Linked DNA regions of Rhinolophus ferrumequinum. The protein of the gene in region 1 interacts with the protein of each later gene in a pairwise test. Links are inferred from orthologs where the notes say so. Each region holds a gene or a part of one and is shown on either strand. Other genes may lie near its edges. The genes, in order: LSMEM2, GIMAP5 and LSMEM1.

What was found.
Region 2: the proteins of LSMEM2 (region 1) and GIMAP5 interact in binary tests that used the Homo sapiens proteins (3 or more experiments, as listed by UniProt). The two-hybrid records come from large-scale screens. The link is inferred for Rhinolophus ferrumequinum from reciprocal best matches to the Homo sapiens genes LSMEM2 and GIMAP5.
Region 3: the proteins of LSMEM2 (region 1) and LSMEM1 interact in binary tests that used the Homo sapiens proteins (3 or more experiments, as listed by UniProt). The two-hybrid records come from large-scale screens. The link is inferred for Rhinolophus ferrumequinum from reciprocal best matches to the Homo sapiens genes LSMEM2 and LSMEM1.

The regions. Positions count from the first base shown.
Region 1 is NC_046300.1:6,302,564-6,312,758, forward strand, and holds LSMEM2 (leucine-rich single-pass membrane protein 2), read right to left. Parts: upstream 4,872-10,195; 5' UTR 3,585-4,871; coding exon 3,563-3,584; intron 3,525-3,562; exon of another isoform or gene 1,947-3,524; intron 1,382-1,946; coding exon 1,271-1,381; intron 1,181-1,270; coding exon 852-1,180; 3' UTR 782-851; coding exon of another isoform or gene 648-781; 3' UTR 274-647; downstream 1-273. Other genes in the region: SEMA3B (semaphorin-3B), read right to left, coding at 5,380-5,781, 6,237-6,376, 6,472-6,527, 6,612-6,769, 7,007-7,048, 7,135-7,226, 7,488-7,707, 8,014-8,158 and 6 more.
Region 2 is NC_046309.1:4,008,066-4,018,974, forward strand, and holds the start of GIMAP5 (GTPase IMAP family member 5), read right to left. Parts: upstream 5,055-10,909; 5' UTR 4,731-5,054; intron 630-4,730; exon of another isoform or gene 627-629; 5' UTR 624-626; coding exon 581-623; intron 1-580. Other genes in the region: GIMAP1 (GTPase IMAP family member 1), read right to left, coding at 8,558-9,423. UniProt on the Homo sapiens protein: Plays a role in T lymphocyte development and the optimal generation of CD4/CD8 double-positive thymocytes. Inhibitor of GSK3A, possibly by sequestering GSK3A in cytoplasmic vesicles and impairing its translocation to the nucleus.
Region 3 is NC_046303.1:4,684,322-4,694,671, reverse strand, and holds the start of LSMEM1 (leucine-rich single-pass membrane protein 1), read left to right. Parts: upstream 1-5,707; 5' UTR 5,708-5,881; intron 5,882-7,828; 5' UTR 7,829-7,856; coding exon 7,857-7,896; intron 7,897-7,973; exon of another isoform or gene 7,974-8,687; intron 8,688-8,756; exon of another isoform or gene 8,757-8,758; coding exon 8,759-8,890; intron 8,891-10,350. Other genes in the region: IFRD1 (interferon-related developmental regulator 1), read left to right, coding at 1,020-1,109.

The DNA.
Region 1 (10,195 bases):
ATGAACCACTTCTTTGGGGGGGGTGGCACAGATGCCACCACAGGTGGGTAGATGAGGCTATCCAGAATGGATTTATGTGCTGATTTTTAAAGATTAGAGATAAGTAAACTGAAAACTCAGCTTTCTGTGGACCTGGCTTCTGGGTGTTTTCTGCCTGCCCTCCCTCCCATCCATCACCCCAGGCTTGGGCCCAGCTGGGTCTCCCCAGCTTCAGTTCATCTTTACCCTCCAAGATTCTCTCCCCAGATGGCCCTCCTCCTCAGAGCCCAGCCTGTCTTGAGAGCTGAGGCTGGATCCCCACTGGGAGGCCTGGCAGCTTGGGTGTCTGGGATGGGGCTGGTTATTTCTAGACTTCTGAATCTGCTGAGGGAGCCAGAGAATGCTGAGAGGTCACAGGAGGAGCCAGGAGGCTGGCATCACTTCCTTTGACCTTGGGCCACCCATAGCAGGGTCTTGGCACCTGAAGCTTTGGTTAGGCCTGGCCTGAAGAAGCCAGGAGAGGCGGGCAGCTATGGGGCCAGATGAGGCTCCTATACAAAACCCTCACCAAGAAAGTAGTGTGGAGCAGCAGTGGGAGAGGAGAAACCTGCTAACGGCCACTTTATTCCCCCCACACACACCCCCAGACCCCAGGTCCAAGTAGCATCTCAACTGGGTGCTCGGGCCTCACTGGAGTTGAGCCTCCGCAACTGGCTGAGGCTGGCCAGCCGGAGTTTGAGTAGCATCTCCTCCTGCGTGCGTAGTGTGTGTGCCAGCATGCGTAGGGATTCACTCTGCAGCACTGCGGACAGGCAGGCAGGATAAGATGGGGGGTTAGCAGACCCCATGCCACCCCATGGTCCCCCTTCCACTCAGCCCAGCGTCAGGGGCCGAGAACCCCCACCCCACACTTCGCTGCCTCGGTCTCTGCAGTTGCTCCTCCCAACCGTACAGAAAGGCCTCCTGGTCCCACTTCCTTGCCCTTGGTTCCCACTGGCTTCTTGCGCCTCCATACCGCTCAGGTAGACAGCCAGGATGGCGAGTGCCAGGCAGGTGAACACCAGCAGTGCGAGCAGCAGCAGGAAGCCCCCTCGGCTGTGCAAAGGGCTGCAGCCAGGCTGGGCGCACAGCGACGGTGGCAGGATGCCCAGCAGCTCATCCCATGGCTGAGCCTCCTCGGCTAGGTAGGGGTGCAGTGAGCCTACAGGGTGAATGGGGCATCAGGAGGGCAGTGGGTGCACCTGTTTTCCTCTTTGCCCAATCCATCCATCCCGTTCCCCTGTCCCCTTACCTCCGCTGTGTAGGTCGCTGATGGACTCCACTCGGTGCAGGCGCACCTCCTGCATGTGGTTGGGAGCCAGTGATGCCCTGTTCTTCGGGCTCAGCATTGGTGCCATGGTGTCTGTGGGGCACCGCGAGGCTGATTCAGCCAGTGGGTCACCCCCTCCCTTCTAGATGGCTTCCAGAGGCAGTAGGGACTCGGGGAAGATGGGGACAGGACAAAGAGGTGGGGGACTCCTAATCTAAAACCAACTCAGGAATGGCCAGTGATTTTGGAGCCAGGACGAACCTGGAACCCCATAGGTCTGTTTTCACCCACAGTAGTAGGTGGTGCACTTGACTTGGTCACGTTTGCTTCCTTCCAAGCACCTCAAAGACTTTTCAAGTATTCCTCTGCCTACTCATTTCTAGAGGAGAGTTTTATCAACCTTGGAGGAATAAACCCATAGTGCATGAAGTTCATTCCTGCCTCTTCTGCTGTCAGTTTTCCCTGTAGACCCTGGAAATTAGCCATCGGGCCAGACCCACAGCCTGACATTCTCCTGGTCCCCAGCAGAAGCAGCAGCATATGAGCTGGTGGTGCCTCTCCTTCCTGGCCTTAGCTCTTTCTTTAACATACTCAGTGTGATTCTGCTGACTGCTCTGAACCCTGCTGTTTTCACTCAAAATCAAGACAGGAGACCTGCCTTTGTTATCAGACTTTCACAGGCCTCTGAGGTCTTCTTTCAGGCATCCCTCTGAGGCCGCCTGGGCATTTAGGTTGTTTCCAGTTCTCTTTTGAAATCAATAATTCCTAGAAAAGGATGTGCATCATTGAGTAAGAAGAGGTCTTTCAATTTCCTAACAGTTAATAAGGACAGATTCCAGAAGCAGAATTACTGGATCAAAAAGCAGGGACTTTTTTAAAGCTATCCTCAAATTGGCTGCCACCATGGCTACCCGCAGCCCCCCAAAGGATACAACATTGCCACCATTAAGCCTCTCCATCGAAAAAAACATATATACATACATATGCACACACATATTTGCTAAGCTGGGAACTGAGAAAGGCCTTTTTGACCCATTTGATTTGATCTCTGCCTAGAGGGGGGGCTGATCAATATGTATGTGGCTTCCTAATTATCTGTTCAAAGCCTCTACACAGTCACTTTTCCTATGATATTTACTTATTTTTAGATCCATCAAAGTGTTTATTATTTCTAAAAATTATATTTTCTTCTGGTGGTTCTTTGACTTGATTTTTTTTTTTTTAATCTTGGCTCCTTACGACCCCCAGATGTCCAGCTGGAAAATAGATCACAAAGTGGGGAGCATTGAAGGGACATCTTATAGGGGCAAGGGTGAGTAGATTTTCTGGGTCTATCGCTTTCTGAACAATAACTCAACCTTCATGATTTGCCTGAAAATGACCCCTGACGCGCTTGAAAGTAAGTAAAACAACAAATGCTGCCAGTTACGTCTGGGTGGTGCATTGAGGGTCATATTAAATTCCCACTTTGCACTTGGTTGTGCTCTTCCCACACTTTCTAAATTGAACTCAGATTCTGTTTGTTACCAGGGACAACACACAGTAAATGTCATTGTTAAGACCCCAAAAGGAGGTAACACCCCCTACACACCCAGGGTTTCCCCGCCTTCCCATCCAATATAAAATTGAAAATGTGGTGGGGGGAGTTTCCCAGCTAGGCCAGGCTGGAACTGTGGAGCAGCTGGTCCTGTACCCTGGCCAGCATCTGGATCTGGAGCTTCTTGGGTCCCTGCTCTGACCCCTCTGAGCCTCCATGCTTCTTGTATGTGGTGAAACAGTTAGGTGAGTGGCCACCAAAGTCTTTACTTGCGGTTATTCTGGCCAACAAAGGGATCCCAACGTTTAGCCAGTTGGGGACACTTAGGCCCAAGTTGGAGGAAGTCAGAAGCCTCGCCCCTCCCTGGGCCATGCGCCCAAATGCTTCCTGGAACCACTGCTCATCCACAATCGCAGCTTCCTCTGAAGTAAGAGCTGAACCTGCCAGGCAGCTGCCCCACCCACACCCACTTAGGCACAGCCTTTAGTTCACCCTCTCCCAACTGGGTAGCTACCTCAACCGCTCTTGCTGTCCCTAGCAGGGGAAACAGGCAGAAGCTGAGATGAGAAGGGGTTCCAGGCATGGTAAGCCTTCCTCCATGCACAGCGGCAGGTCCCATGACTTGCGCTGGGACATTGTGACTGACGACTAGTTAAGGACGCGGGGTCAGTGGAGCAGGGGTAGGTTTCTCCGTGGTCATAATTTTGGGGCTTTGCCCTCCTTCAGTCACCTCCTACCTTCTTGGGTCTCCTCAGGCATGATGGGGTGGGCAGTCACGGAGCCCGATGTCAGCACCCAGTAGCAGGACGGTGGAGGCAGCAGTGGCTCCTCTGTGAGCCTGAGGAAGGCCTGGCCACCTCCCAGCCTGAGCCTGAAATAGGCCTGCGCTCAGCCCACGGGGCTATATTTAGAGGGGACAGCTCTCAGCCATGGAAAGGGGCAGAGTGACCCACATGGCCAGTGTGGACTATTGACCTGTGCAAGTGCACACCTCTACTAGTGCATGTGCCCAAGGGCTTTCCTGGGGAACCCTACGACTCCCATATATACATGGGCCTGTGTCTTCATCCAGATGAACCACGTCAGTGGCACCTCCAGCAATAACCCACGTGGCAGTCAAGACATGCAAGGGGGCTCTGTGCATCTCCACTCCTCTACCCTCCAAAACGCCTACCCACAGCTGGGTCATCCAAGCAAAGGTGGGATAGGCACCCACTGTTTGACCTGTTAGCATCAGGGATTGAGGGTGATGGACAACCTGAGCCCAGTGCCACCAGGGTTCAGAGAGCCCTAAAAGGGGGCAAATACCCCACATATGCATGTACCCTGCTGGTCAGCGGGTGGACCTAGGCTGAAGAATGACAACTTCTATTATTAAGCCTACAACCTTGTATAAAGGATTGCCCCTTCTCTAACCTGTTTTCTCATCTGTAAATCGGAACAACAATGGTTCCTCCCTGGCATCGTGTGTGTGAGAATGGAAATACAACCACGCGTCTGAAGCACTTGGCACAATGCAGTTTTGATCTGCCCTCCTCTCCACAGGGGCACACAGGTCACAGACGTCGTGTGAGGATGCATGGACCACTTACCCTTGAATGGAGGAAGTGGGCCAGCTTAGGCCCACCCTCTATTGTTAGACCCGTGTCCCTCCTTCCCAAATAGGACAAAGTGAAAGAGTGGGTCTCTGACTCTTGTAACACCCCAAATCCATTACTCCGGTGTATTATACTGGCCTCCTTGACGTTCCTCAAACACAGCAAGCTAGTGCCCACCTCAGGAACTCTGCACTGGCTCTTCCCTCTGGGAATGCTCTGCTCCCAGATATTCCCATGGCTGGCTCCTTGCCATTTAGCTCAAATGTCACCCGCTCAGGGAGGCCTTCTGCTCACATTCTTTTCCATATCACCCAATTTTATTCATAGCACTTAGTCCAGAAATTATATTACTCAGAATTTCCTGTGCTTGTCGGTATCCCCACAGGCCCTGCAGCATCCACTCAGTCACATGGTAGCCACCTTTAATCCTCACCACAGCGTCTTCAGAAGACACCGAGGCCCTGAAACTGCGTAGGCAGGTAACCGAGGCCGCACAGCGAGCCCAGGACAGCGGCTGTCCGCCGGGGCCGTTCCAGCTTCAGCTGATAATGAGTTTATTGCATTAGTACAGTCGGCCTGCCCCCCCGCCCCCCCAGCCCAGCCCGTTCACAGCTTTCTGCTCATTGCCCGAGGAGGCGGTCCTTCTCCCAGGGTGGGGACTCCTGGCACCTCTCCCGTCCAGGTCGTTGCTCTGGAGCCCTGATTCTTTGCCTTCTCCCGACCAGCCGGACCCTGTGCCCGGCCTGAGCTGCCCCTCCCCGGGCTACATTCAAGGGTTATCCACTGTTAATAAATAAGCTGGCGCGTCTGCCCCACGGCCCGAGCCTGGCCGGCGGTGTCTCGGTTGGCCGGGGGCCGCTGTGTGCCCGCTCCCTAGCTGTCTTTTCCCAGGGTCTGTCCGCCCCTCTCCCGCCAGTCGTCTCATCTCCCCAGTCCCCGGCGTGGGGACTGCCGAGTCACCAGTGCGCTGCGCTACGTGGCCCCCGCTCAGCGCGCGGCTCTGGGGCGTGTGTCCGCCGGTTGCGACCCTTTCTCTGCGACTCAGGAAGCTGTGCGCGCGGGGCGGGCTGCGGTCGACACATTCGCAGGGAGCTTGCGCCACCGCCACCCGGCTCCACCAGCTGTAGGAAGTCCCGGTACCAGAGCTTGGGGCCCGGGGGCACTACGGGCGCAGCCTCCTCGGTCCGGGCCAGCCTTTCTGCCTGCGCAGCACTCAGTACGTGCAGCACCAGGCGACGCAGCGGCTGCGAAAAGCCCTGCTCCACTGCTGTACACAGGTACGCGCCTGAGTCCCCGCGTCGCAGGCCGCGCAACAGCAGCCCCCGCGTAGTGCGCTCGGTGCGCTCCTCCGCCGGCACCTGTAGGCCCGGCCAGAGTGAGGCGCGGCGGTAAGGTCGGGAACCCCGCTCCCGGGCGCCACCGTGAGACAGTAGAGGCAAGGGTCTGCGACGGCCACGCGGCGCGCCGGCGTGTGTGTGTGTGTGTGTGTGTGTGTGTGTGTGTGTGTGTGTGTGTGTGTGTGTGTGTGTGTGTGGTGTGTGTGTGTGGGGGGGGGTGGTGGTGGTGGTGGTGGTGGTGGTGGTGGTTTGTGTGTTGCCTAATTAGCCGGAACAGGCCTCACCAGGTTGTGGAGTGCAGGTGAAATAGGAAGAAAGAGATCAGGGTTGGCAGAGCCGCACTAGGTGGAGCTAGACCTCATCTAGATGTGGGGAGAAGGCCAGGGCCTCATTATTCAGGGCGGAGCCTCTACTGGATGTAAAGAGCCCGACGAGGGCATGGTTGGGAGGTTCCCCACCACCACCACCAGGCTCACCGGGACGCCGGCCGTCTCCCCTGCGCGATGGAAGGTCCACTCCACATGCGCCTGCAGCGAGCGAGGCTCACACTCCAGGAAGGCGCTGCCGCCCTCCACACCTAACACCTTCCGCTCCAGCAATGCGGGATGTGACGAGTCTGGGGGCAAAGGGAATGAATGTCAGATACAGGCCAAGCGGGGCAGGGTGGGGCGTCTTCAAGGACTGAGAGATGGGGGCAGCTGGAGCACTCACCCCCAGAGCACAGCGTTCTGGGGTCGCCGTTCTTTATGTCTTGCCTCCGGAATCGCCTGGGGGGAACATTGGAGCTTCCCTGAGCCCCTCTTCTTTTAGCCATGGACTCCCTCCCAGCGGCCCGCCACAACCCTGCCCACCTCTTGCCACTGGGCTGGAAGCGTGTGCACGCGGCCCCGTCCCAAGCGCAGTAGGGGTCACGCGCCAGGCAACATTCGGCGCAGGCGCGGCCGTGGGCAGCGCAGCGTTGCAACGGGATCTGGGCCACTGCGCTCCGTGAGGCTACGTACAGCTGGTGCTAGGGGGCACGAGGGGCTCCGGGGTGACCGAAGGCGGCCCTGTGCCCACCTCCCATCGGTCAGGGATCCCTTCCCCACTTGACAGATGGGAACACTGAGGTCTCAGGTCACACAGTCTAGTGAAGGCAGAGCCTATACTCAAACCCCAGGCTTCAAACTACCAAGGGAAGCATGGAGGTACGGGCGCCTGGGCACCCGCTTGGTCCATGGCACCCCTAAGACTTCTGATCACTTACCCTCTTGGAAGAGATTTGCATGCTGGTGACAGCAGCAGAGTCCTGAGAGAGAAGGGGCACTGGAATCAGGGCTAAGTGGAGTGGAGGAAGCCCAGGTGACAGGAAGGGGAGGGGGGATTAGGTCTCACCTCAAACACCTGCAGCTCCTCCAGGAGCAGCCCCTCAGCATTAGGCCGGCTGCTCTTGGGGACGGAGATCACCTTCAGCACGGTGCCAGCATCTGCAGGAATGAGGAGGGGTGAATGACTCCTTGTGTTCCCTGACAGCTAAGGCCAGGGGTCTCTTCATCTCCGAGGCCTCTACCCTCAACATGGTTGGGTCCGTGGAGAATGTGGGTTGGAACAATCAGAGCAGCATCCAGAAGGAGATGGGGGCACAGCCCCAGCAAGGGCCTGGAGAGAGGACTGAACATGGGGAGCTTCCGTTAACAAGCCAAAGAGCCTAGACTGGGTCTGGCTGGTGGTTCTGGCAGGACCCTGACCTGTGCCAATGAAGAGGACGTCGTAGTGTCCGTCAGCTGCTGCTACGCGGTCTGCAGTGATCTGGGTGAAGGTGTACCCGGCACCCACTTGTAGGAAGAGAGGGTGCCCCCCCACAGGCAGAACTGAATTGTACATGAGGGGGTGGTTCCGGGCAAACTGGATGACATCATCAGGAAAATCCTTGGTGGAACTGAAGGTGCCAAAGGTCTTGCTGGGACACTGGGGGATAGGAAGGAGGCAAGACAGGGATGTGGGGATGAGCGCCTGGTGTGCAGCCATCCGCAAAACTCTGGGAACCCGGAGTGTATATATATGAGGGTGGGTGTCATGGACAGAGACCCAGCCTTGCCCTTGGGAGTCTGAGGAGGAAATGTGGCCTTCCCCTGGGGTCCTGTCTGATGAAGGTGACGTTTCTTCCACCCATAGCAAAAAGAAGAAACCATATTTATCAAAAAGACCCCAGGCCAAGTTCTCTACCCCTGAGGCTTTCAGTGGGTTGTGATGGGGGTTCCCTGGGCTACGTACCATGCCCGGCCGGGGGTAGGGGACACGACCCTGGTAGGACACCCACTGGTGCATGGGCCCCTCCTTGTGTGCAAAGGGTCCAAGGAAGGCCCGGCGCACATCATTCATGCTGTACACGCACACTGCGGAGCCCTGGAAGATGCCACTGCAGGCGAAGATGTGAGTGGAGTGAAGGGCCCAGCAGAGCCCGGTCGGCCCCACCCGGCTACCTCCCAACCCTCACCTGGAAGTGGAGAAGATAGCGTAGAGCAGTGGGGTCCAGCGGTCCCTGGAGGACAGCAGGAACACATCCTCTGCAGGGAAAGGACCTAGTTGGGGGAGAGCCCACAGCCCCACAGGCCAGCCAGGCTCCAGGGTCTGTGCCCCTGCACTCTCTCCCCCAACTCCACTCCCCACTCCTCGCACTCACGGAGCTGGTCGAAGTGCGTGTCGCCCGCCACGCCTGGCACGGAGCACACCAGCCGCGCCTTCAGGAAAGTGGTCCACTTGTTGACCAGGCTGCGCTGCCCACCCACATCATTCTGCGGGGTCAATAGGAGGGGATGAGGGCGAGTCCTCTGAGGGCAAAGGGGCAGGGCGGGAGTCAACAGATGCTGGCCAAGGTCTCCTCACCCGGCAGATCTGGCCAACACGGGACACGGACAGGCGTCCCAGTGCCGGGGCAGCCTCCACTGCCAACTCACGGAAGAAGAAGTAGATCTTGTCATCATCTGGGTTCTCACTCTCAGGAATCCAAAAGACCTTGACGAACTTGGGCTCTGGCCACAGCAGGAGGCGTGGTGTCAGCGAGGTCCTGGCCTCCTCCCCACCCCCACTCCACAGGAGACCCAGGTGCTGCCTCCTCTTCCTCTCACAACAGCCCCACAGGCAGCAACGACTACACAAACTCTAGAATCAAGTTCAGACGGCCGTCCACGTGAACAGACTCCAAAGGTTCAGGGCCTGCGAGTCATGAAGCAGCCACGAGAGGGCAGCAGAGACCATGGCTACTTGGGCACACAGGCGGAGGGAGCTTCTGCCAGGTACAACCCTCTTACCTTGCCCCTGACAGTTCCCCAGGCCTGTGGGCCAAGAAAGGAGGGAGATGGGGTACCTGGTTTTACCTTCACTCAAGAGTCTTCCTCTCTAGCAGGAAGCAGATGCCCCCACTCCTGTTTCAAGAACTCTACTGGGTGCCATTACTCTCAGAATAAATACCCTGGCCCCTGACAGTCCAAGCCCCGTATGAATCTGTTCCTCGGCTTGTTCCTGCCCCAGTGCCTTTGCACTGGTTATTCTCTCTGCCCGGAATGCTCCTCCCTCAATCCTGCTGTGCTTTGGGAATTAGCTCACATCTCCTCAGCAGAATGAATTCTTTTCCCCAAACTTCCCACCACTACCACCTTTCCCCCTCCTCTTCTCATTGGTCTCATGGCCATTGAAATTGATCTTATATTTGTTAGGAGGCCCATGAACTCAAAGAGGGCATGTCTCATCTGCCCTGCCACCCCAGTGCCTAACACAAGGCCTGCCACATGGTGCCCTTGGTGAAACCTGGCTGCACCCATTGCTCACTTCTTTTATGGACCTTACTCAGCCCCTGCCCTGTTGAGGATGAGGGCCTTCTCCCACCAGCCCCACCAGCCTTTCACCGTTGAGCCAGCGGGAATCATGTGGTTCTGTTCGGAGACTCGGACGCGGGCCCAGGCTGCGGAAGATGGTGAAGTCCCGGCCCATGAGGTCTGCAGCCACCCCCGAGTATAGCTCTTCCCCTGCAGACAGGGCAAGGGCTGCTTAACCAAGGCTGAAGGTTCTGAGGGAAGGGGTTGTGGAGCTCTGGGGGCTCTTGGGGAGTCAGTGAGCCTATGGAGGATCCCTGGGGCTCTAGGGAGGGTCTTGGGACTTGGTGAAGTTCTTGAGTCCCTTAGGGGTTCCAGGAATTCTGTCGGGGTCCCAGCCTTTGGACTTACCCACCAGCACGGAGGCTGCTTGATGCCTGGGGTCATAAGGACTCTTGCCCTTGCCATCCTCTAGCTTTTGAAGGTCCAGCCGGAGCACGGGCTCCTGGGAGGTGGGGGAAGTTGTTACAGCCAGGCCCTTCTTTACTCTCCCAACCTCCCTTTCTGCCTGAATCTGGCCTTACCTCTAGCCGGTGGCCCACCTCCACAAATGCACAGGTTGGGTGGAAGGCCCCTGTGCCACA
Region 2 (10,909 bases), on another chromosome or scaffold:
GGTGGCGGAAGACAAGTGGAATGTAAGACCACTAGCCGTACATGGGCTAGAAAGGTCATCTATTTGGCTGATTGAATTACAGGAAATTAACACATCTGGTGTTGGAAACAGGGTGACACAGCTGAGAGCTAAAATCTTCAAGGGATGAAAAAGGGTCTAGAAACCGAGGATTTCTAGAGTTCTTATGAGCCCAAATGAGTTCTAAGTTCACTGTAGGCTCCTAAAATCTATTATTTTATTCCTTCTACTCTGTGTCGGTTCTTCCTTTCCTTAAGTGTTCTGGGATGTTTTCTCTCGGGGGCCTTCCCATTTTTTTTTCCAACTGAGAGCAGACAAGGAAAGAAACCATATTCACAATTCAGTACCCAGTCCTCCAACTTCTGACTTGAAGTTTCATTCCCACACATCAGTGGTATGATGATAATGGGGAAAGTAAAGAACAAATAACAGTTGCTTTGTTCTTCTTTAGTTTAAAATAACTGGGTTTCTGTCACTGTGTTTGAGGTGAGGGACAGGTAGAGAGAGAATAGTGACTCTCCCCTTGTGCCTGGAGTTTTTGAGAACTTTGAGGTTTCCTTACCTTCAGTCATAGTTCCATAGCTGCTCTTCTGAAGCCCTTCCATTGTCTTCTGGAATGAAAACAGGAAAGGAATAAAAAGCAAGTGTCCATATGGGAGTTGGTAAAGCCCGAGGACACCTCCAGTTCAGACCCATAAGAATAATTCTCTCCTTCAATAAACCATTTCCATTGCTAGTTTCCTAAGTCACATACTTTCAAACGTCTATAAATAACTTTAAGCAAACCAGATGATGCTAGTTTATATTACCACAATGCACTGTGTTTTTTGTTTTCAGCTTACAGGAAAGCAGGGAATGTTTTAAAACAAATCAGTTGATTATCTCCCTCCAACTTGAAAAGGCATGAAATGAAGTAAGCATTCTGTTATGGAATGAGGAGTGGAATGTTTATTATTATTATTATTATTATTATTATTATTATTATTATTATTTTGGAATCAAAGTAGGCAAATGTGCTATGGGCAGTACTTTCCCTCATGTCAGTCCTTGAAGGAATCTTTGTCCCTGATACCACCTTCTCATTGGAAGATACATTGTACTTTGCTCTTGGCCACTGGAATGTCCGTCTAGCACAAAGAGTTTCTGGGACCAGGAATTCCCACTACTTCAAACAAGCGAATGTCATGTACAGCAAAGTGATTTTTTTCCTCTGTTCTAGCAAGTTTATTGTTAGTCCCCGAGCAGTTGGTGGAGAGAAGGTGGTGCCAAGATTGAAGAGAAAGAATCAACATTCAGGACAAATTCAAGAGAAACTCATTTCCTGCTCAGTGTTAAACCAGATGTTTTTCCTGGCTGGCTCTGAGGTCCTGGTCTCCCAATAATCACCAGGTTTGTCTCCCAGTAGGTTAACTGGAAATTGGCACAACCATTGGCATCTACTGGCACAAATGTTTTACTCAAATGAGGCGTAATATTGTGTCACTCTTCTTGGTGTTACCGTGTTTCCTGGAAAATAGGACCTAGCCAGACTATCAGCTCTAATACGTCTTTTGAAGCAAAAATTAATATAAGACCCAGTATTATATTTATTATATTATACTATATTATATTATCATATTATATTATATTATACCCATTCTTATATTGTATTATAATAAGACCAGGTCTTATATTAATTTTTGCTCCAAAAGACGCATTAGAGCTGATGGTCCAGCTGGGTCTTATTTTCGGGGAAACACGGTAGAAAAGGCAAGCACGTGACATGCAGCTATAACTAAGATGAGGTATTTGACTTACTCCATTTTAAATATTATGCAGTTATGAAACAAACTTATTACACAGTAATAAAACAAAACCCACCATTTGCAATGCAGAAATGTAAGAATTTTGGCATTTTTACTGCAGCTATTCTGTTTGAAAGTTAAAACATTACACATAGAATTCCATTGATTTTTTTTTCAACTCCCCACTCTCATTCTCCCTCCTTCTGTCCTTCAGAAACAATCAGTATCCTGAGGTTTTTATGTATCATTCTCATTTGTGTATTTACACTTCTACAAACACGTTTCCTCGTATAGATAACATCTAGTGCTGTTTTTGGATTTAAAATTTTTACATAAATGACATTATTTGTGTAACATTTTATCCAATTATTTATTAACGAACATTCAAGCTATCTCAAAATATACCCTTGCTTCTACAAACAATGCTGCAAAATAATGCCCACATACTGTGTATCTCCTGTACTACAATTTATCTGGTTTACACAGCTTCCATCCAACTAGATAGTGCCAGATATGACTTTAAGAAGATTGTGCTGACACCATATGCTGACACCAGCCATGTGTGACAATTCCCAAAATCTTTACTTGCATTTGCTGATATTAGACTAAATTTTTTTACTCACCCTTATGGGCTTAAATGAGGATGTCTTAATTGGTTTAAACTTGCATTTTACTGATTACATCGAATTCAGAATGGTTTTCATAGTGTGTTTGCTATTCAGGTTGCTTCTGCTATATAGAAATAATGTATGCACGTTTTTCTATTCATTCAGTGGATTTTTTTTGGGGGGGCCCTCCTTAGGAAAACCATCCATTTTCACATTATCAGAATATACTAAGACAACTTCCTTCCTTCCTTTCCTTTTTCCTTTTTTCCCCCCTTCCAGCCCATCCTTCCTTTCTTTTCTTGAGCCCAGAAAACAGCATCTTCCTCACCACCATCTTCCATATTCTGTCTTTGACTCCAGGAAATCATACTCTGGCTCTTGCTAAAAATGCTCAAATTCTCTGACACCTTTTCTACCTAAATGCCTTTTCCTGGGGTTGGAATCAATCTATTGATGAGGTAAAGATGATGACGTTGGTGATGAACTTTATTATTGCAAGAGTCCTCTGTGCTGCCATTTATAATTTTCTAAGTTCTTTTATGTCCATTATTTCAATTGTTCTCTAAATTTGCTGTGATGGAATGAAGACAGGTCTTAAAATTTCGATTAAAATGTTAGGAAACTGAACATCAAATGACCTACCCAAGGTCACACAGTGGCCACAGAGTTAAGATTAAAATGTGGCTCTTTTTGCCTGCATATTCTCCTTGAGTCTACAGGGGAAAGATTATTTCAAATAAGTCCCCAACTTCTGGGACCACCACCTACAATGTTGCCATCTGTGGTCAGAACATAAACTGATGGTTGACCGGATGGAAGTCAGCCCTAAAACAACACAGAGAATTGTACTGCAAATTCTTGAATGCGTGTTTTTCCAAGAAAAGATTATTCAAAGAGAAAATTGCAGGGGGCAGGAGTTGTTCTGCATAGAAGCATTTCAGTTGAAAACAATCTGGTGGTTTTACTGACTCGAGTATGATTGTGACCCAAATAGAGGGATGTGCCTGTCCCAGAAAGTCAATCAAACTCAGGTTACATTAGCCGAGATGCAGTACAGTGGTGTTTCTGAGCGGGTCGGGCTGCAGGCGGCACATGTGTCCCGCTGAGGAAGAGGTTTTCAGGCAGATATCAACAAATAACCAAGTGTCCAGGGACGAGTCAGAAAGTATATTGATGGAGATGCTAAACTGATCCTGGCATAGACAAAATATTAACAGGACTGAGGAAAGCCTAGGAAAAGACTGGGGGGGACGAGGGGGAGTACCGCAGACCTGAAGGATTGTGATATGTGCCAATCTCCGAGTAGGCAAAAGTGGGAGAATCCAGAATGGAGGCAGATTTCTTCTCGAAAAGGAAAATTCTACTAATCTCCAAAATGGGACCAGGTATCATGAGGGAGCACCAGGCACAGTGTGCAGGCAGAAAGTATAAGAGCATCTGATGGGGACCGGAGGAGGGCTTAGTTCAGCCGGGGGGGTTGAAGGAAATGAACAGAATGCACCTTCCGATTTTAAAATTATGAGCCTGATTTTATCATGATTTTATCAAAGCGAGAGAAAATAGGCTTTCTCATGCTGTTTAAGGAAAGACCAAACTATTTCTTGTCTGACTCGTTTCTAAGTACCTTCTTTGCTCATTTGCCGCAGTCCCTATATTTCCCGGTATTAGAGTCGCCTGTTTTGTAATTTAGTTCTTGTGATGTCTCTCACATAAGATTTAGCAGGCAGAGGGATTGTTCCCATGTGCCCTGAACATGAGGCTGTTTGCCATAGAGTCGAGTCCTACAATGTGTCAGAGGAAGGCGGAGGGTACTTGGGGGAGAATGAGGTTTCCAGGAGGTGGGGTCCTAAGACAATGTCTGCTCAGGGGTCTCTTGCAGGAAAACGTGGCTCATTGTGGGAGGGGTTAAGAAGTTAAGCAAGTATATTGAGAAGCATGCCCCCAACTACCTGGGGCAACTGGGGAGGTTCAGTTTTCTCATCTGTCAAATGGGAGGAGATTATTAGTCCAGCTTTCTGAAACCCTGTGAGTCTCATGAAGACCCAATGGGCTAAGCAGTAGGCAATTAGACAGAAAAGCCTGTGGCGCTGTGGAATGTGATGGGTTGCGGATTTGGGGCGAGTGGTTCCCGTGCCTGTTTCTCCCCCCACTATAAATCTCCTGTTCCCCATAGCGCTCGCCATCATCGCCCCATTTCACCGACGGGCGAACCCAGAAGTTGGGGGACCTGTGTGTGATCACACCAGCAATCGGAGGCTGTGACTAGGCCGTGGGCTCTCAGACCCCCATGACGCTGGGACAGTCCCCAGGGTCCTCTTACCTAGCAGGGCGCTGCGGCTCGCGGTGCTTGGAAGCTTTGGCAAGGTATGCACGGGGGGTGGGGTGCTGGCGGTGAGCGCAGGCGGCCGGCGCAGCGGGAAGCCCGGCTGTTAAGTTGGTCCCGGTGGCCTGAGAGGTCGAATGTTCCAGGGAACGGCTCCAGGCAAAGAAGAAGAAAGGGGAGTACGGAGCACGCCCAGCGCCCCACGCAGTCCTGCCTCCGGGTGGACGGCGAAAGTGCTGCAAACAGGACCCAGAGACTAAGTGAGCTCTGCGTGCTGTTCCCTTAGTGGGACGCTTCCTGTCAGAGACTGTCTTTGTCTTGCCCCCTCCCATTTCCTTTTTTATGACTTGTTTAAATAAGCGCTATTTGGAACAGAAGGCTACGAAGGTGGCGACGGATTCCCAGGTTCAGAAAAGCCCCCTGTGGCACAAAAAGTCCTTGAGGGTTGCGGGGAGCGCAGGGGGAGGCACCAGCCGCTCCCCTCAGCAGCTGGAGATTTTTCAATCTTGTTTTGCTACGTTGTTTCTTCACAGTAGAACTTGATCTCTGAGGCCCTCAAAGCTTTCTAGACCTAACATAGAATCTTAGCCAAAGTGAGACCTGCGCGCGTGGGCTTAGGAAGGTACAATTCAAAATGCTCTTGGAATTCTGTTAATTTAACAGGACCGTGTTGGTGACATTGTACTCTGTCAACTTCAGAAAATGTCTTCATTTGGAAAAAGGAAAATATTTTAAACAATGCCATTTTCTTTTGGAACTGAGCAAAGTATTTTGTTTTAGAGGGTAACTGGGTTGTGACCATATTCTCAAAGAATTATTAAGGTATGATATTTGAGGAAATATATGTGGTATAACATGGATAAACGGGTGAGTAAAGAAGCAGTTTATAATGGATGGAAAGCTTGGGTTGGTGCAAATGCTTGGCAAACAAAGAAGTTGCACTTTTGATTTTGCCATCTTGTGCCATCAGGATTTAACCTCAGTAGATTCCTTCCGTCTTCAAATCAAAGCAAGTGAATGATAATTATTCTTCATACCTCATGAGGTTGTTTTCATCATAATATATTAAGAACCATTTGTCACCCCAACCCTGGCCCCTCCCTGAGCCCCTCAGGTCACCAGAGGAAACTCTCTCTGGCTGAGCCCCTGCGTGGACCCAGCATGGCTGCCGAGGATGCTAAAAACTGGAATTAAGAATGGTCTTTTTCAGAGAAAGATAAGTACCATATGATCTCACTTATATGTGGAATCTAAAGAAAAGAGTAAGTGAATGATCTAATCAGAAACAGTTTTGGAGACAAAGAGGAAAAACGGAGGGTTGCTAGATGGGCGGGGGGGTGGGGGTAAGGGGAAAGGTGAGGGGATTAGAAAACAATCGGTAACCACAAGATGGCCACGGGGTTTGAAAATTAATCTGGGGAACATAATTTAGTGGTTACCAGAGTGTAAGGGGGTTGGGGGGTGGGAGATGAGGGTAAGGGGGATCAAATATGTGGTGATGGAAGGAAAACTGACTCTGGATGGTGGACACATAATGTAATTTATAGATGATGTGATACAGAATTGCACACCTGAAATCTATGTAATTTTACTAACAATTGTAACCCCAATAAATTTAAAAAATAAATAAATTAATTTAAAAAAAAAAAGAATGGTCTTTTTTCCAGCCGGCCTTCACAGAGTCCAACTCCCTGCAACAGCCACCGTGGCCCCCAGGCCCTCTGCCTGCAGCCCATCCCCACCCAGCAGCCCGCGCTGAGCCTCCCTGGGCCCAACCCCACGTGGTATCAAAGCACATATGTGTGGGCCCTTCCTTCTCTGTGTGGCTGGTATAAAGACAATGACTTCCTTTCATAAAAGTGTTCTGTCACATTCAGAAATAGAAACAAGGAATTTTTTTTCTTACACAACCTAAGGATGGCATCTGGTTTTCTCATGGTGTAGCATTCAAGAACTTTTGTGAACTGGCTCATCCCCCAGAAAATCGGACAGCACAGCCATACCTACCTAACCTCAGGGCTCTGCAGCTTTCTGCCTACGCCCCTGCTGCGCCCTCTCTTCTCCAGGAGCAGAGAGGAGCTGGATTATTATTATTTTTTTGCATAAAATCCCAGGTAGGTAACCAATTGGCACACATTACTTGTGATTTTCCCAAAATCCTACTTCATCTTGTAAAGACATGAACCATACATGCTAGAAAATTGGAAACTTTGTTACTTTCATTATAGCTACATTTATCTTTCTGGTAGTAAATCATTGCGCTAGTAAAAAAAACTGATGTATCAGAAGTTAACATGTAGGACCCTGATGTCTATTTCTTTGATGATGAGAAAAACCTACAAGGACCTCAAAGGGCCAGATCTACTCAGGTGTGAGAACTAGAAAAGTATTAAGGAGGGTCAGTGTCTGCTCTGGTCTCAATGTCTGTGTCTCCCCGCCATTCCTACGATGCAAACCTAATGCCCAAGAGGATGGTATTAGGAGATGGCACCACTGGGAGGTGACTAGAGGACAGGTCCCTCATGATTGGGATCAGTGCCCTTACAAAAGAGGCCCCAGAGACCTGGCTCATCCCTTCCACCATGTAAGGACACAGCCAGAAGTTATCAGTCTGCAACCCCAAGAGGGCCTTCCCCAGAACCCGACTATGCCGGCACCCTGACTTTGGACTTCCAAATTCCAGAACTGTGAAAAATCCATTGCTGTTGTTTAGAAGCCACCTAGTCTGTGGTATTTCTTTGCTTTGCTTCACTTTTTTATTTTAGCAGCCTAACGGCCTACGATAGTGTCTACATTTCTTTAAATGCTCAAAATAAAAATGATTATTTTTCCATTGCCAGGAATCCTTTGTCTACTAAAAACTACCAGCCCTTTCACTATTTTTCAAGGGAGGAAAGATGTATTGGGACTCCTAAGACATTTTAAGGACTTTTTAAAGTCAGACATTTCTTTTAAAAGTGTATCTATAGTCAAAAGTGAAACTTAACAAGTGAACTTTGAGCCTTTGCAAAGTTGGTAGTGTTCAGTGTTCTATGTCATTAAAACTCTGTCTGAAGCTACAGGATTCCTCTGCAATGAACTTTTAATTCCGAATCCGCTCCACAGTTCCTTTCAAAGCAGATTCCCTTAATTTTTAAAACTTGGACTGTTGGTCCTGTCCTGGGTTCAGAGCCTGGGGAGCAGCAGGCTGCTGGAGGGGTCTGAATGGGGACGCAGGGGGAGATGTCTCCTGCTGGGACAGGTGGACTGTTCTTCAGAGTGCTATCTTCTGATGAACACCCTCCACCCCCCAGGTGTGTATGTGTGTGTCTGTCTGTATTTGGGTGTGTGGTTTTTGCAGATGGAGTTAGGAATGACAGGCTCTGTTCAATGGGCATATAAGGCAGATGAACAAACATCTACAAATAGTGATTTCCTTTAACAGTGTGATTGCCCCGTGCATTTATTCATTTAATTCAAACAAAAGGGTATGGACTGAGGCTCTGTGTTGGCTTTCTCCCTTGGTCCCGTGGGGAAACCAGGGGTGAGAGGACAAATGCTCATCTGCTCTTAGGAGACAAGACAATTCAATGACAGGGAAGGGCGGCCTGAGGTCAGGGGGAAACGGGCAGAAGCAACAACAGTTGTTTGGCTTCAGTAAGGGGAGAACTCAGGGAGGGCCAGGTCACAGGGCAACGTGTTGGGGAGAGGTGGGATCTCTCAGCACTCTGTCCTTGTTAGGTTATGTCCAGGTGAGAGAGGCAAGGAGAGCCCGCGGGCCAAGGAAGCTCACACACCAGGGATGAATGCGCTTATACATCGATGGGTCAAAGTCCCCTTGGCTGTCACTCAGGACCTAACTCATCAATGGCCTCAGGCCAGAGCCTGGAGAGCACCAGGTAGAGCAGGACCATTGCGCCCAGCAGCGCGGACACGCGCCACCTCCTCGCCGCCACCCACGCGCGCAGCCGGGAAAGCAGCCCACGCCGCGCCCGGGCCCGCGCGCGGCACGCCAGGCTCTCGGCCACCCGGCGCTGCCGCTCCTCCGGGCTCGCCGCAGCCAGCTCCTGCGCCAGGCGGTACACGTCGTTGCAGTAGGGGGCGCCCTGGTGGTACCGCACCAGGGGCTCCACCAGCTCCCGCAGCTCCCGCACCTGGGCCTCCAGCGCCCAGCCCTCCGCGCGGTTGTTGAAGGCGCACACGCGGCCCCCGCACTCGGCCACGAGCGCCCGCAGCGCGCGGTTGTCGGTGTCGCGCACGAAGTCCTGCAGCGAGGCCCCCGCCAGGTCCTCCTTGCGCGTGAAGAGCACGACGGTGCGCGCCAGCACCGCGTCGTCGAACAGCTCCTTGAGCGCGCTCACCGCCTGCAGGTCCTGCGCCGTGAAGCGGCCCAGCTGGGTCACCAGCAGCAGCACGTGCGGCCCCGGCGCCGACAGCAGGTAGCAGCGGCTGCGCTCCTCGAAGCCCGGGTCTGTGTTGGGGACCTGGGAGCTGAAAAGGTCCGGGGTGTCCATGACTTCCACGTGCCACCGGCCCCACCTGCAGCTCCCCACCTCGCAGGTTCTGGTCACCGAGGTGGCTCCGAGCCTGGAGAGGAAGCGCCTCTGGCCCAGGATGCTGTTCCCGGTGGCGCTCTTCCCGGCTCCTGTCCTCCCCACCAGGATGAGCCGCAGCCTGGGCTCCTGCAGGCCCTGCGTGGCGTCTTCGGAACCTGGAGGACACGTGACTTGTCAGCTTCCAAACCTTAAAGCACCGCAGCCTGCTTACCTGGGCCTCCGGGAGCCCTCTGAACAAAGGAGAACAATAGTGCCTTCACCTGCGCCTTTTCCCCCTAACCCTGCCTGAGCTCATCTGGTCGGAGCTGCCTGCACTCCCGGCATCTTCACCTTCTATTTCTTTCCCTGTGGCTTCACCACGTGCACCTGTGGATGCTCAGCACCCGGTGAGCGTTTCTCTAGAGGATGCCCCTTTGCAATTCCACACTTGACCTCACCAGACGTTATCCCTGCTCGTCCTTACCTTGCACAGCTGTCCCTACTTGACGGCTTCAGGGGCCTCTGCCATACTTCTCCCAGAGTCCATCCCAGGGAGGAAGGGCAGGAGGGGGCAGTAGACGGGAGAAGAGGGGCTGTCTGGAATCCCAGACATCTGGGTTTGTCTCGCAGCCCCGCCATCGCCAGCTGTGCAGCCATGGGGGTTGCTTAATCTAAGTGTTAAACTGTAGTCACACAACAACCTAGCCAACTGTCCCTCCACCCCCGCCCGTGTCTTTCCTTAAAGAAAGAAGAGTCTGTGATAGTGTGCCTTTCTGGGACTCTGTTCCATCATTGTGTTTACACCTTATGTCTCTCTGTCTGGTCTCCAAAAGATGGTTTGCAGGCAAAGACGGGTAAGATATCTCACGGGACATACAACCCAAGCCAGGTGGAACTGAGTTGAGCCCCCGCCGACGTGATGCCTTAGAAAAATATGGGAAGGGCCTTGCCTCCCCTTCCCCCTGCCTAGGAAAAGCCATTGCTAGCTCTGGCTCCTCTTTCGCACCTGTTGTGAGAGAAGTCATGAAGACAATAAAGATCAGTTCTCTCCACTTGTCTCAACGGAACTGTTACAATATGAGAGACTTGACCCTGAGAGGGTACTGTCATGCGGGACGGCCTGCAGGGTCTCAGCTCCCGCTCCCCACATAAGAACGCAGGATATGGCTAGGCCAAAAAGGAACACCCACGGAGCCATAGGTAGGGGAGTCACACCACTATACTCTCGCTGGCGGCTGGGTTGGAGACACCGGAACCAGGAGCAACACAATTCTCAACCCTCATTGTGCCGCTTGCAGGCTCAGCCACCATCTCCTTGCTAGCCCCCATTTTTTGCTAGCGTAGCCACGGCAGTTATATTCGTGGCCAATGGCTCACTGGTTACAGCTGACGGCCAACTAGCCACAGCTGATGGCCATTTGATCACAGTCCATGGCCATTTACTACCTGAGCCAGCACCTTTCTATGTGAGGCTGAGAGCCTGGAAACTGCTTTTTGGGGCTCTGTCCCCACAGGTACATACCGTAATTAAGACATCATGGGACCTTGTGCTCTGGCTGTTTGCAGACAAAGGGTGATTGGGATAAACATTTTTCTGCTATGATGTATGAGTCTCACAGACCGTGTAAGAAACAGTGTTACTTGTATGAGTGTCAATAAAAA
Region 3 (10,350 bases), on another chromosome or scaffold:
GTGAGGTTGGATGTTACTCCATTGCCTGAGTACGTTCCACGTGGGGCGACACCGTGGTTCCCCTTCAGCAGATGCTGACACTCGGCTTGTTGCCACTTTTTGTCCCTCGTGAATGGTGCTGCTGTGAACATTTGTGTACAAGTTCTTGTTAGAGGATCTGTGTTCAGAGCTGTTAGGTGTGTACTTAGGAGTAGACTTGCTGGGTCATACTAATTCTCAGTGTAGCTTTCTAAGGAATTACCAAACTTTTTTACAGCGGCTGCACCCTCTGTACGTTCTCACCAGCAGTATATGAGGGTGCCTACATTCTTACCAACACTTGTTGTTCTCTCTTTCTTGCTTTAAATTATAGCCCTCATAATAGGTATGAAGGGCTTAATGTATTTTTTTATAGAATCTTTATAAATTTAATCATTCTTATGACCATGTCATTGATTGTTGGGTTTTTAATAACTATTAATATTTTCACATACTTTTCTCTTCTGGACTATTTTTTGAAACAAATCCTTGCATGGGAATACAGGGCTGGAATTATGACTTTTTGATACATAGTTAAATTACCTTCCAAAGTTATTTTTGTCATTTCTAATTGTTCCCAGCAATGAGAAAGCGTGTGGCTATTACACACGTATTTGACAGCCTAAGTTTTCTAATTTAAAAAATTGTTTGAGTATTAAAATGGAACTTCATATTTTTGTTATTGATAGCATGGTTGGATTTTTTTTTTCACATTAGTTCATGATTTGACTTTTCCTTGATCAGATGCAATGTTGATGTACCTTTTTTTTTCAATTTTTTTCACTGGAATGTTCTTACTATAGATAGCCGTTAGCTATTACATGTGTTAAGTTTCCCCCTTGTCCTTGATCTTTTTGTATGTGTTTTACAAACGTTTAAAATACTTATAGTGTTGAATTAGTTCATTTCTCCCCTTTGTGATTTTTATTTACATTATTTTAAATCTTACGAGACTCTTAAGCCTGTGTGGCTCACATATATTTTCCTTTTCTTCAATTCAGCATTTATATAATTCGGCAGCCTTCAAAGCTCGAACCAAAGCTCGAAGCAAATGTCGCGATAAGAGAGCAGATGTTGGAGAATTCTTCTAGATTTTCAGCATTTGAAGACTACTTTCTACGTTCTGTTTTTTTATTTGTAACTTCTAATGTATTTAAACTCTGGAGACAGTTTTTATCTCGTCAACATAGATAGCTTTTGTAGCAGGGGTTATATTACTTATAATTTAATGTATAGTATTGCAAATGGTAAGTTCTGATTGAGTATTCTCTGTAAATAGAATCAGTAAACATGAATAAAGTGTTTGTAATGTTTGGTCATTTTCTATTTATGAAGAGAGTAAACATATGGTATTTCACGGTAAGAAAACTATTAGCCAAGGTTAAATACCTTATACTGTGGTTGTCAGATATGTTGATTATAATGCAGATACTACAAGCTATTTAAGATCTTAGACAAACGAGTTCTGGATACAGTTTGGGGAGCTAGTTCTTCTAGAAAAGCTGCTATGTTTTTAATTTTAAATGGAACCTAATAATTTTGTCACTGGGATCAACAAAGGAAATTCAATTATACCGTAGACCTCACAGCTACACTTCAAGGCCGTTCAGTCCAGCTTTGGGAGTTCAGGATGAATTAGGACAGCCAGGACAGCTGCGCACCTTCACCTCTGAGGGCAGTAACACTAATTTCATCTGTTGTGTAAGCCTGTGCTCTTTATTTTGAAATAAAGATCTTTTCACACTGAAAGTGCTTCTTTTCTAATAGAAGAAACATCATTTATGGGTTTGAGGTTCAGAGTGCAAAATGACCAAGCTGGGGAGGGAAGGGGCAAGGAGGGAGACAAAACTTACTTTGTATGTTTGGAAACCTGAAAATAGGTGAAAAAATACAGCAGTGAATCATTGGGGTTCTGGTTACTGACTTAAGACTATTGCTGCTTAATTGTCACTATGAGTTAGATTTCACTCTATGACAAGTTGCAGGCATTGTGACTGCATTAAGAATTTATTATTAAGCTTATATTAAAACGACATTGCACAAAGCAACGTCTGCAGTATAGAGTTCATATGCTTGCTTCTTTGATATCAGTGCAGAATATGGTGACGAGGTGTGAGGAATAAAAGGACGCGCACACTAGAGAAGAACCGGAGTCACCCAAGGCACTTTCCCAAGGCAGCGTCCCTCCCACAGCCCCGCAGCTGAGCGTCTGACGTGCCTCTTGCTGGAAATGATTGGCCCGTGGAGTTGCCCTTCCTAGTGGGGTGTGAGTCCCACCCTCGGGTGCAGTGCAAGGAAAAGCATGAAATCTAGGGCTGGGGGTTTTGCATGGTGGGTTCCCAGTAGGTTAGAACCATGGAAAGATAGAAGCAGTGTTTTCCTCTAAATGTTCCATTTCATGTATGCATCTTGTTAAATAAAAATGACTTTTTATTACAGTTGCTCACTAGCGTATACATAGGTTCATGGTACTTCCAGGCTGAAAAACAGCAGCTCCCTGCTCCATCCTTTCCCGTTCCTCCTCATACCAGACCACCATTCAACCTTAGTGTTTACCTAGCAACTGGTTTCTGGTTTCCAAGTAAGAGGCTCCAACAGCTGCTGCTTAGTTTATTTTTTCCGACCTGACAAGTTCCTATTCAATAGGTGAAGGTGTTTGCCTTCTTACTTCATCTTCCCAATTTTTTTTCTTTTTGGTTGTTCAATCCACATTGTGACTTGCGTTGTAGTGACCATGTTTCTGTGTTCATTCCTGAACTAGAGTTTCCTGTGCTTACATTTCCATACTCAACACCACAGTCAGCAGGGAGTCAGCTTTGTTTTATGGTCACATCACTGATCCTTCCCAGAGTCCCAAACATGTCTGTGGAATGCTAGTCTATTTTCCACATGGTCACAGCCCAGCAGAACGCCCGTTTCAGTGTAGACTGCCCTCATCTGAGTATGTACAGCTGTTTCCCGACTTCATCGTCCCTGGATTGGTTTTCCTTTTGGGTTGGATTTCACACTTCTGGCCTCGTGGCTTCAGTGTTAGATTCCTTTCTTGTTCAAGTGGGACTTCCTTCAGCAACTTCTGGAAATGGTGCATGGGGAGGTCAGGTATTTTGAGTCTACCGTATTTGCCCGAAAAGAAGACCTAGCCGGACAATCAGCTCATGCGTCTTTTGGAGCAAAAATTAATATGACCCAGATATTATATTTATTTTATTATAAAGACCCTGTGTTATATCAGGTCTTACATTAATTTTTGCTCCAAAAGATACATAAGAGCTGATTGTCCGGCTAGGTCTTATTTTCGGGGAAACATGGTACATGTTTGAAAGGCAGTTTGGGTTGGGATATAAAATTCTAGGGAGAAAATCCAGAATTTTGAAGACCTTGCTCTACTGTCTATCAAGTGTTATAATATCTGGTGCAATTCTATTTCTGATTCTTTGGTTTGTTTTGCTCTTAAGAGTTGTTCTAAAATTACGTGACTCTGTGCTTTGGTGGGCTCTGGCAAGCTGGAAAGCTCAGTTCTTGGTCCTGGGCACACCCCCTCCTACACACACACTTTTCATTCTGGCAATTCCATGAGGTGCTAGAGCTGCTGGATGGAGCCTATGGCCTTATTTCTTCCTCCTTTTTCTTTCTTGGAGATTTCTCTAAGATGATTTTTCACCCTTTCTATTGCATTTTATTTGGGGCTAACCTGCAATCACCTGCCTGTATTTAGCTCCATATTTCACGGCTACCTCCAACTCCTGCCTGAAGTCTGCAGGGTCAGTCACCTCACTCACTCACCACCCTCCCGAGTCTGCTAAGACAGGTAGGTCCCGACCACCATCTCCTTTCCTTAGTCAATGCCTTGGTTACAGTCCTCTTGCGTATTGGTTTCCTCCAGTTTTCATTCTTGTAGTTGTGTCATCTTTATTCCTATTCTGCCTTCGTACTGGGGTTTGAAGAAGAAAAGGTGAAGGTGTGTTAACGTGCATATTAGATTTCTAGATAGGTAGTTGTTGGGGTTCCTGGGGTTCCCATGTATCACAATGCTGGAGTTTTCTTGAAAGTAGTAAAACGGTATATGGTGGACCAGTTCATTCCTTGCATCGTGCTGTATTAAAGGAATTTAAAATGGTCCCTGCTTACTATACTCTTTATTTTGAGGCTTAAGCATTAATTTTGGGACAATTCATAGCTGTGACGAGTCTTTGATGCCGTTTACAGAATTTTCTGGGAGTTGAATCTAGATACAGTGAGATACAATATTCGAAAGAAAAGGCAAGAAATACGTGAAAATGTGCCCAAATTAAAACAGTTCATGTAAGACTACCTCTTCTCGCGACCTGTAATAACACTTCTTGATGTGGCCTTTCAGGTACATAATAGGTAAAACCAGGTAGGTTATCGTGCTTTGCTCTTAATTGGTTCTCCAGACATCTAACTGCCCATAAAAATCTCAGCCCCCTCACTGGTGTAAAAGATGGTTGAATTCAGACTTGCGTGTGAGGAACTGCGTGTCTCCATTCTCCATCCCTGAGGAGGGAGTAATACTTCACGGGGTTCCCAGTTTATAGGAAAGAGCAAAACAGTAAGTGCTTAAAATTATTTAGCCAGTTATTTCTGGCTGAGACTATTATTTCTTCAAAAGATAGATTGTTTAAGACAGTTCAGGAAGTTTGGAGATAATTTTTAAAACAGCATGATTAATAGCTAACATTTTCATTTTTCAAGAAATTTGGCATAGCTTTGTCATGTATAATGTGCTTTTGAGAAGACACTAGATACATGGTCTTCATTGAATTGATCCTCTAGTATAGAGGCAGCTTAAGAAAATGATATCCATTTTCCCCCAAAGGAGAGTGAGGTCCAAACTAAATATAGATGTAAGGGAGTTTTGTGCAGCACGTTTTTCAATTGACCTGAAATACGGTTCAGGGATGACCAATGTCTGTCTTGTCACTGCAGTGGGAGGGAGGATGAGGGAAGGACTACGTATCAGGTTACAGCCCACCCCTTAGGCTCCTGGGGGGGTGGGTAGGTCGTCCTGCTGTCTGGGACCAGGGTGTGTGTGTGGGATGGCTGTTCTCCTTCTCACTGTAGTTTCTTGAACGCACACCAGAGGGCACAAGCTGCTTGGCATATGTGTGAGGGACCCACAGAAGAGAAAGGCTGACATTCCTGAGAAGGGAGAATGCATGAAAACTCAGAACAAAGGCTTTGGAAAGGCAAGGAAGTTGAGACAAAGTGCTGCCGTGCGTCTGTAGCCATGCGGTCTCCCACTCTCCATCTTTTTTTGCAGCTCCCGGAAGCCTTAGGGGTCCTCTGACCTGCCATCATCCTAGTTAGAATGCCAGGACCTTATTCTGTCCCTGTTCACTGTAGTCTGCCGGTTGGTCTGGAGTCCTGTGCAAGCTAGTTGGCAGCTCCAGCTGGGTGGCAGCTCCAGCCTGCTACCGGGTATTTATATGTGGGGCATTCCGTGGCTGGAAGTATGCCAGCTCACACAGCCGCATCGCCCAGATAAGGAAGTAACTGCAGTCCAGTAAGAATCGTGTCAGTTACCAGCTGTACCTGGGGTGGTGGGTTTTTTTTTTTCTTTTTAAAGTGTAGTTTCAATAATATATTTGCTAGAAATCTTAGACATTATGGAAAAAAGTCCGTATTTGGAATCTTACACTGCTTGGCTAAATGAACACTAAATACCGTTTCATGCTGGGGTGTATGGACCTTGCAGGAACGCCCGAGCGCTGAAGGAAGGCAAAGAAAGAACTACAGAATTAGTAGACAGTTTTATTGTAGTTGCTTCTGAATAATTAGTGTGGTTTTTTTTTTGGTTTTGGTTTTGTTTTCTGGTAACCTAGCAGTCAAAGCTCACATTTTTGTAAGTAATCTGCATGCTATTACTCTCCTGAGACTGATTTATGACTCTTGAGGCTGGCATGTTCTTTGATGCATGTGCTGTGTGCTTTTAACTTTTGATAGAAATGATTTACACTTGATTTTAAAAATTACTTCCTGAATGATGAAGAGGCACTGACTCTGAAACGGAATTAAAGAACAAATCACCATGACCCACTCCATAAAGCGTCCTATTAGCTTTGAATTAAGTCCTATTACAACAATTCTAATACTGTGGCAAGCAATACTAGCTAGTGTGTGTTATTCCTGTGGTTTGATACCAAGGACCTATGGGGAAAAAAGAGCAAAGCAATTTTTCATCGACAATTGTCTTTATTTGTCAGAATATTTATCTGTAGGTAGTCAAAGAATTCCTAAATAACAAAAAGAATAAGCTGTTACTGTGTTTCCCCAAAAATAAGACCTACCCAGAAAATAAGCCGTAGCATGATTTTGCAGGATGCTCTTAATATAGAATAAGCCCTAATGCATCTTTTGGAGCAAAAATTAATATAAGACCCGGTCTTATTTTTGGGGAAATACATTAGGGATTATTTTGTATTACGAGCATCCTGAAAAATCATGCTAGGGCTTATTTTCCGGTTAGGTCTTATTTTCGGGTAAACACGGTAGCATTGATCTAAGCCAGAGGAAGATGAAATTACTTACGTTTCAGCTCATGGTATTAGAAAGGATCCCATGAAAAAGGATACTGCTTTGGTCTTATTTAATGAGCAAATTTGCGCACGGAGTCGGGAAGGAGGGTTGAGTGAGTGCGGAGCAGAATTTAGAACATTCTGGCTTCTCCGGCCCTGCTGGTTGTTCCCAGACGGCCTCAGATGGAGAGGCCAAAGATAGCAACAACTGGGTGTCAAACAGCTGTGGGTCCTGGGTGTAGGGCCATGTGACCTTGTATCCATTTACTCAGCGTCATTTGCAGGAACTTGGTGGCCACACACCCCCAACTCGGTTTTCTCTGCTGGCTCTTAATTTTGTATTTGCATGTTGCAGTTAATTTAAAAAATACACTGAAGTAGTATCTGTCTACCTCGTGACGTTTTCTTTTGGAACACTTCACAGCTTATTCTCAGTTGTGTTAGGGCTTTTGGATTGCGTGTTGCTTTGAGTCGGTAGCGAGGCCGATAATTTGGAGATTTTTATTAGGTGCATGTCTCGGTTTTGTGGTTATAATTTTCTAGCCAGTCCTGTACTTTGTAAACATCGATTAAGCCTCAGCATGAGATTTAAGCAAGAGTAATTACATTCCTACAGGGGAAGCTAAGGCTCAGGATATTAAGTCACATCCAGAAATGAGCCCTGCCTCTGTCACCAAGCCTAAAATAGAAGCCGTGTTTGGAATGACGATACTGCGGTGACTCACCCAACCTCATTCCTCATCAAATATTAGCATTTGGGATAAAAAAGTATGAAGAGGAGGTGATAAAGGGTAAAACCTTTCTAGAAAAATAGTTTAGAAATCTGTGACCCTGCCATCAGTCAACACTGGGTTTTATCTGTAAAAGGATAAGATTTGATTGATCTCTAAGGCCCCTTTAGTCTATATGCTGCTACTTTTTTTTTTCTGTCACTTCACGTCACTCCCTGAGGAATGCTTCATGAAGTATATTTATATTTAGAATTATGTTTAGAATATTTAAAGTGCTTCAGTCGTATCTTACCTAAAACTCTCAGGGAATTTTGTGTTTTTGTCAATTAAAATTTCAGGATAACTGAAACACCCTGTTTTAGTTTGTAACTTTTATTGGGAAAAAAAATTTAGTCCAGCACTGCAGCTACCAGATAAATGTATAATCTTGGGCGTTTACCTACTGAGCGTCATTTCCTTCATTTGTGGAAAGCATGAGGGCTAGACTGGAACACTTATAAAATTCTTTCCAGATTAAAACAATCCCGTCCTACTCACTCTTAGACTCATTGTATGAAAAGAGGAAGCTCTGATGGTAACTGGAATTTGCCTTCCTGGACCCTTCTTTTCACGTGAGTAAAAGGCCACAAGTTCTCTGTCATGCTGGAGAGATGTCTTAAAATAAAACTTTTTAATCCATTCAGGCTTTCCAGTGCTGCTTCAAGTTGTGCTGTCATTAGAGAATATCACTTTAAATGTAAACCTCAATTTAAAAATGATTTATTATGGAAGTGACCTCAGTCTACGGAAACTCAAGAGGGCAGACACCTGAGAAGTCCTGGAGTCTCGCCCCCCACAGCTGCAGGATTCCTCCTTGTGGCATCTAAGCTTGTTCAGATCTTGTCTTGAGGACAGCCAGCATCTACTGGCTGAAGGACACATTTGAAGGGAGAGACTCATATGTTATACTGAAGAAGTATAAAAATTACAGCTTCGTATTAAAGCCTCATGTAGTAACAAGGGTTTGCCGTAATGTTCTCTTCTTCTCTCAGCATCTTTATGGCCACAGGCTGACTGGTTAAATGGCATCTTTCTATCTGGTCATACTGTCTTTTGCACAAAAGACTTGAGACATCTCACCAGGATGTGAACACTGTAACAAAGGAGAAATATTTAAAAACCAATTACAAAATAAAAAGGAGGCCCAGGAAAGTGTAGGCAGAATTGAGAAATCTGAGGAGCAGGAAAGAGCATATGCAGATAGGGAGGGTATAGGCATTGCACAATTTTTAAAATTGGGCCACGCACTGGACTCCGAGCTTCCTGGCAAGCAAAGCAGAAAGGACAAAGTTGTCCCGGAAAGGAAATGTTCTCTTCTGGACAGGACTTCGGTTGGAAACAGTCTATGTGGCTGGTTCCGTATGTGCGTGTCCCGTTTCCCATGGGTGGTGATTCTTGGGAAGCCTCGAGTTTAACACCGGTGTACTCTTCCAGGGACAATGAATCGTTCTTCCCAGGACGCTGGCTCGCAGGGCATTCTCGGAGACGGGAAGCTTTATGCTGTGGATTCCATCAACGACTTACACAGACTGAACCTCTGTCCTGCCGGATCTCAACGCCTGTTCCGTACGTGTGCTCTCCGAGGGCCAGCGGCCCGCAGCTTCTAAGCTGCCTACAACCAGCGGATGCTTATCTGCCCTTGAGGGTGTGGGGAATGGGGGCGGGGCCGGGGGGGGGGAATAACAGTTTGGCCCCGAAAGTGCTCATTCGCCAATATCTGCTTTGGTTCTCTGAATAGAGAACCAAAATGCCCACAGGCTCTGGGCTTCTGGGGCTCCGAAGTACGATTTGAACTCTTGTCTTCAAAAGTTCTTGAAAGTCCCGGTGGGGTTTCTCTCCCTGGAAAGCAGATGAGGCGGCAGAGCTGGTCTCCCAGAGTCTTGCTCTTCCCGCTGGGCAGCTGTTTGCCTTCAAGTGACCACATCCAAGTCACCGATGATGCCCACGTCCCTAGAGCGATCTCACTTCATAGCGAGTCGCTGGGAATATAAATGTTCCACACTTTTTTGATCAAGTTTTAAAAACAATCATTAAAATGTTGTTGGGCAAAAAAGTCAACTTTGGTTTCTACTAACAAATGACAATTGCCCCAATTAAATGGCTAGGAAAAAAAGGGGTGGGGGAGAGCAAAACAAAACTTCTGCTAAATACTAAATGTGTGTCTTGTCCCCTAAATGTTGTAAATGAGTTCTGTCCCTTCTTAAACGCTGACATTCAATCCCAGGTGTTGCCAATGTGACATTTGTTTCACGTGCACTCTAAAGTCTTAATGTCCCAGTTTTGTATCTATTATTCTCCTTCTGACCTTGCTTTTCTCTTGATTTGAAGGTATTCGGATTTTCACCTGTTTCTTTATTGCAGTCAGTCTCAATTAAAGTAGGTGTTTGGGTGCCAGCTTATGTTGTTGCTTTGATCAGGAAGCAAAAGCTATTCAGGGGGTGACATAGGGTGTCTGGGACGTAAGCCACCCATCTCTCTATAATCAAATAGCACAGCGTGTGGGACTGACGCCAAGTAGGAGAGAATATGGAAATAACTTAAGTCTCTCAACTGCCCCAAGTTTCTGTATTTCTGATTTGATCGAATGTGGGTGTTATTAGGCAGGTCTCACACAGTGATGACCAAATGCTCATGGTCTGGGTGAACCACGTTGTTTTATAAGCACGGCTGCCCTCTCAGTTCAACAGCAAAACATGGAAAAGAACCTTGTTTCCAGAGCATTTCCGTCATGAAAACAGCTTTAAGAAACCAAAATACATCCGGGCCATTTTTCGTTTGTATAGGTATAGGCTGAACTGATTTTTCCTATAGCGAAAGGAGTTTCCTGGGACACAGCCCAGAGCATTCCGCCTTCCACCCAGCAGAGGTGTCCCACGGCCAGCTGTTTTTACTCCTGGGTCACTTTGGGGAAAGGACCGTAGAGTCTCCATCATTCTGAACCCTTAACTTCTTTATCTCCTCCATTCCTCCTCCCCTCCCCCCACCCCTGCCAAAAACGAAAAACGCATGTTCTGCTAGTTCAGTAT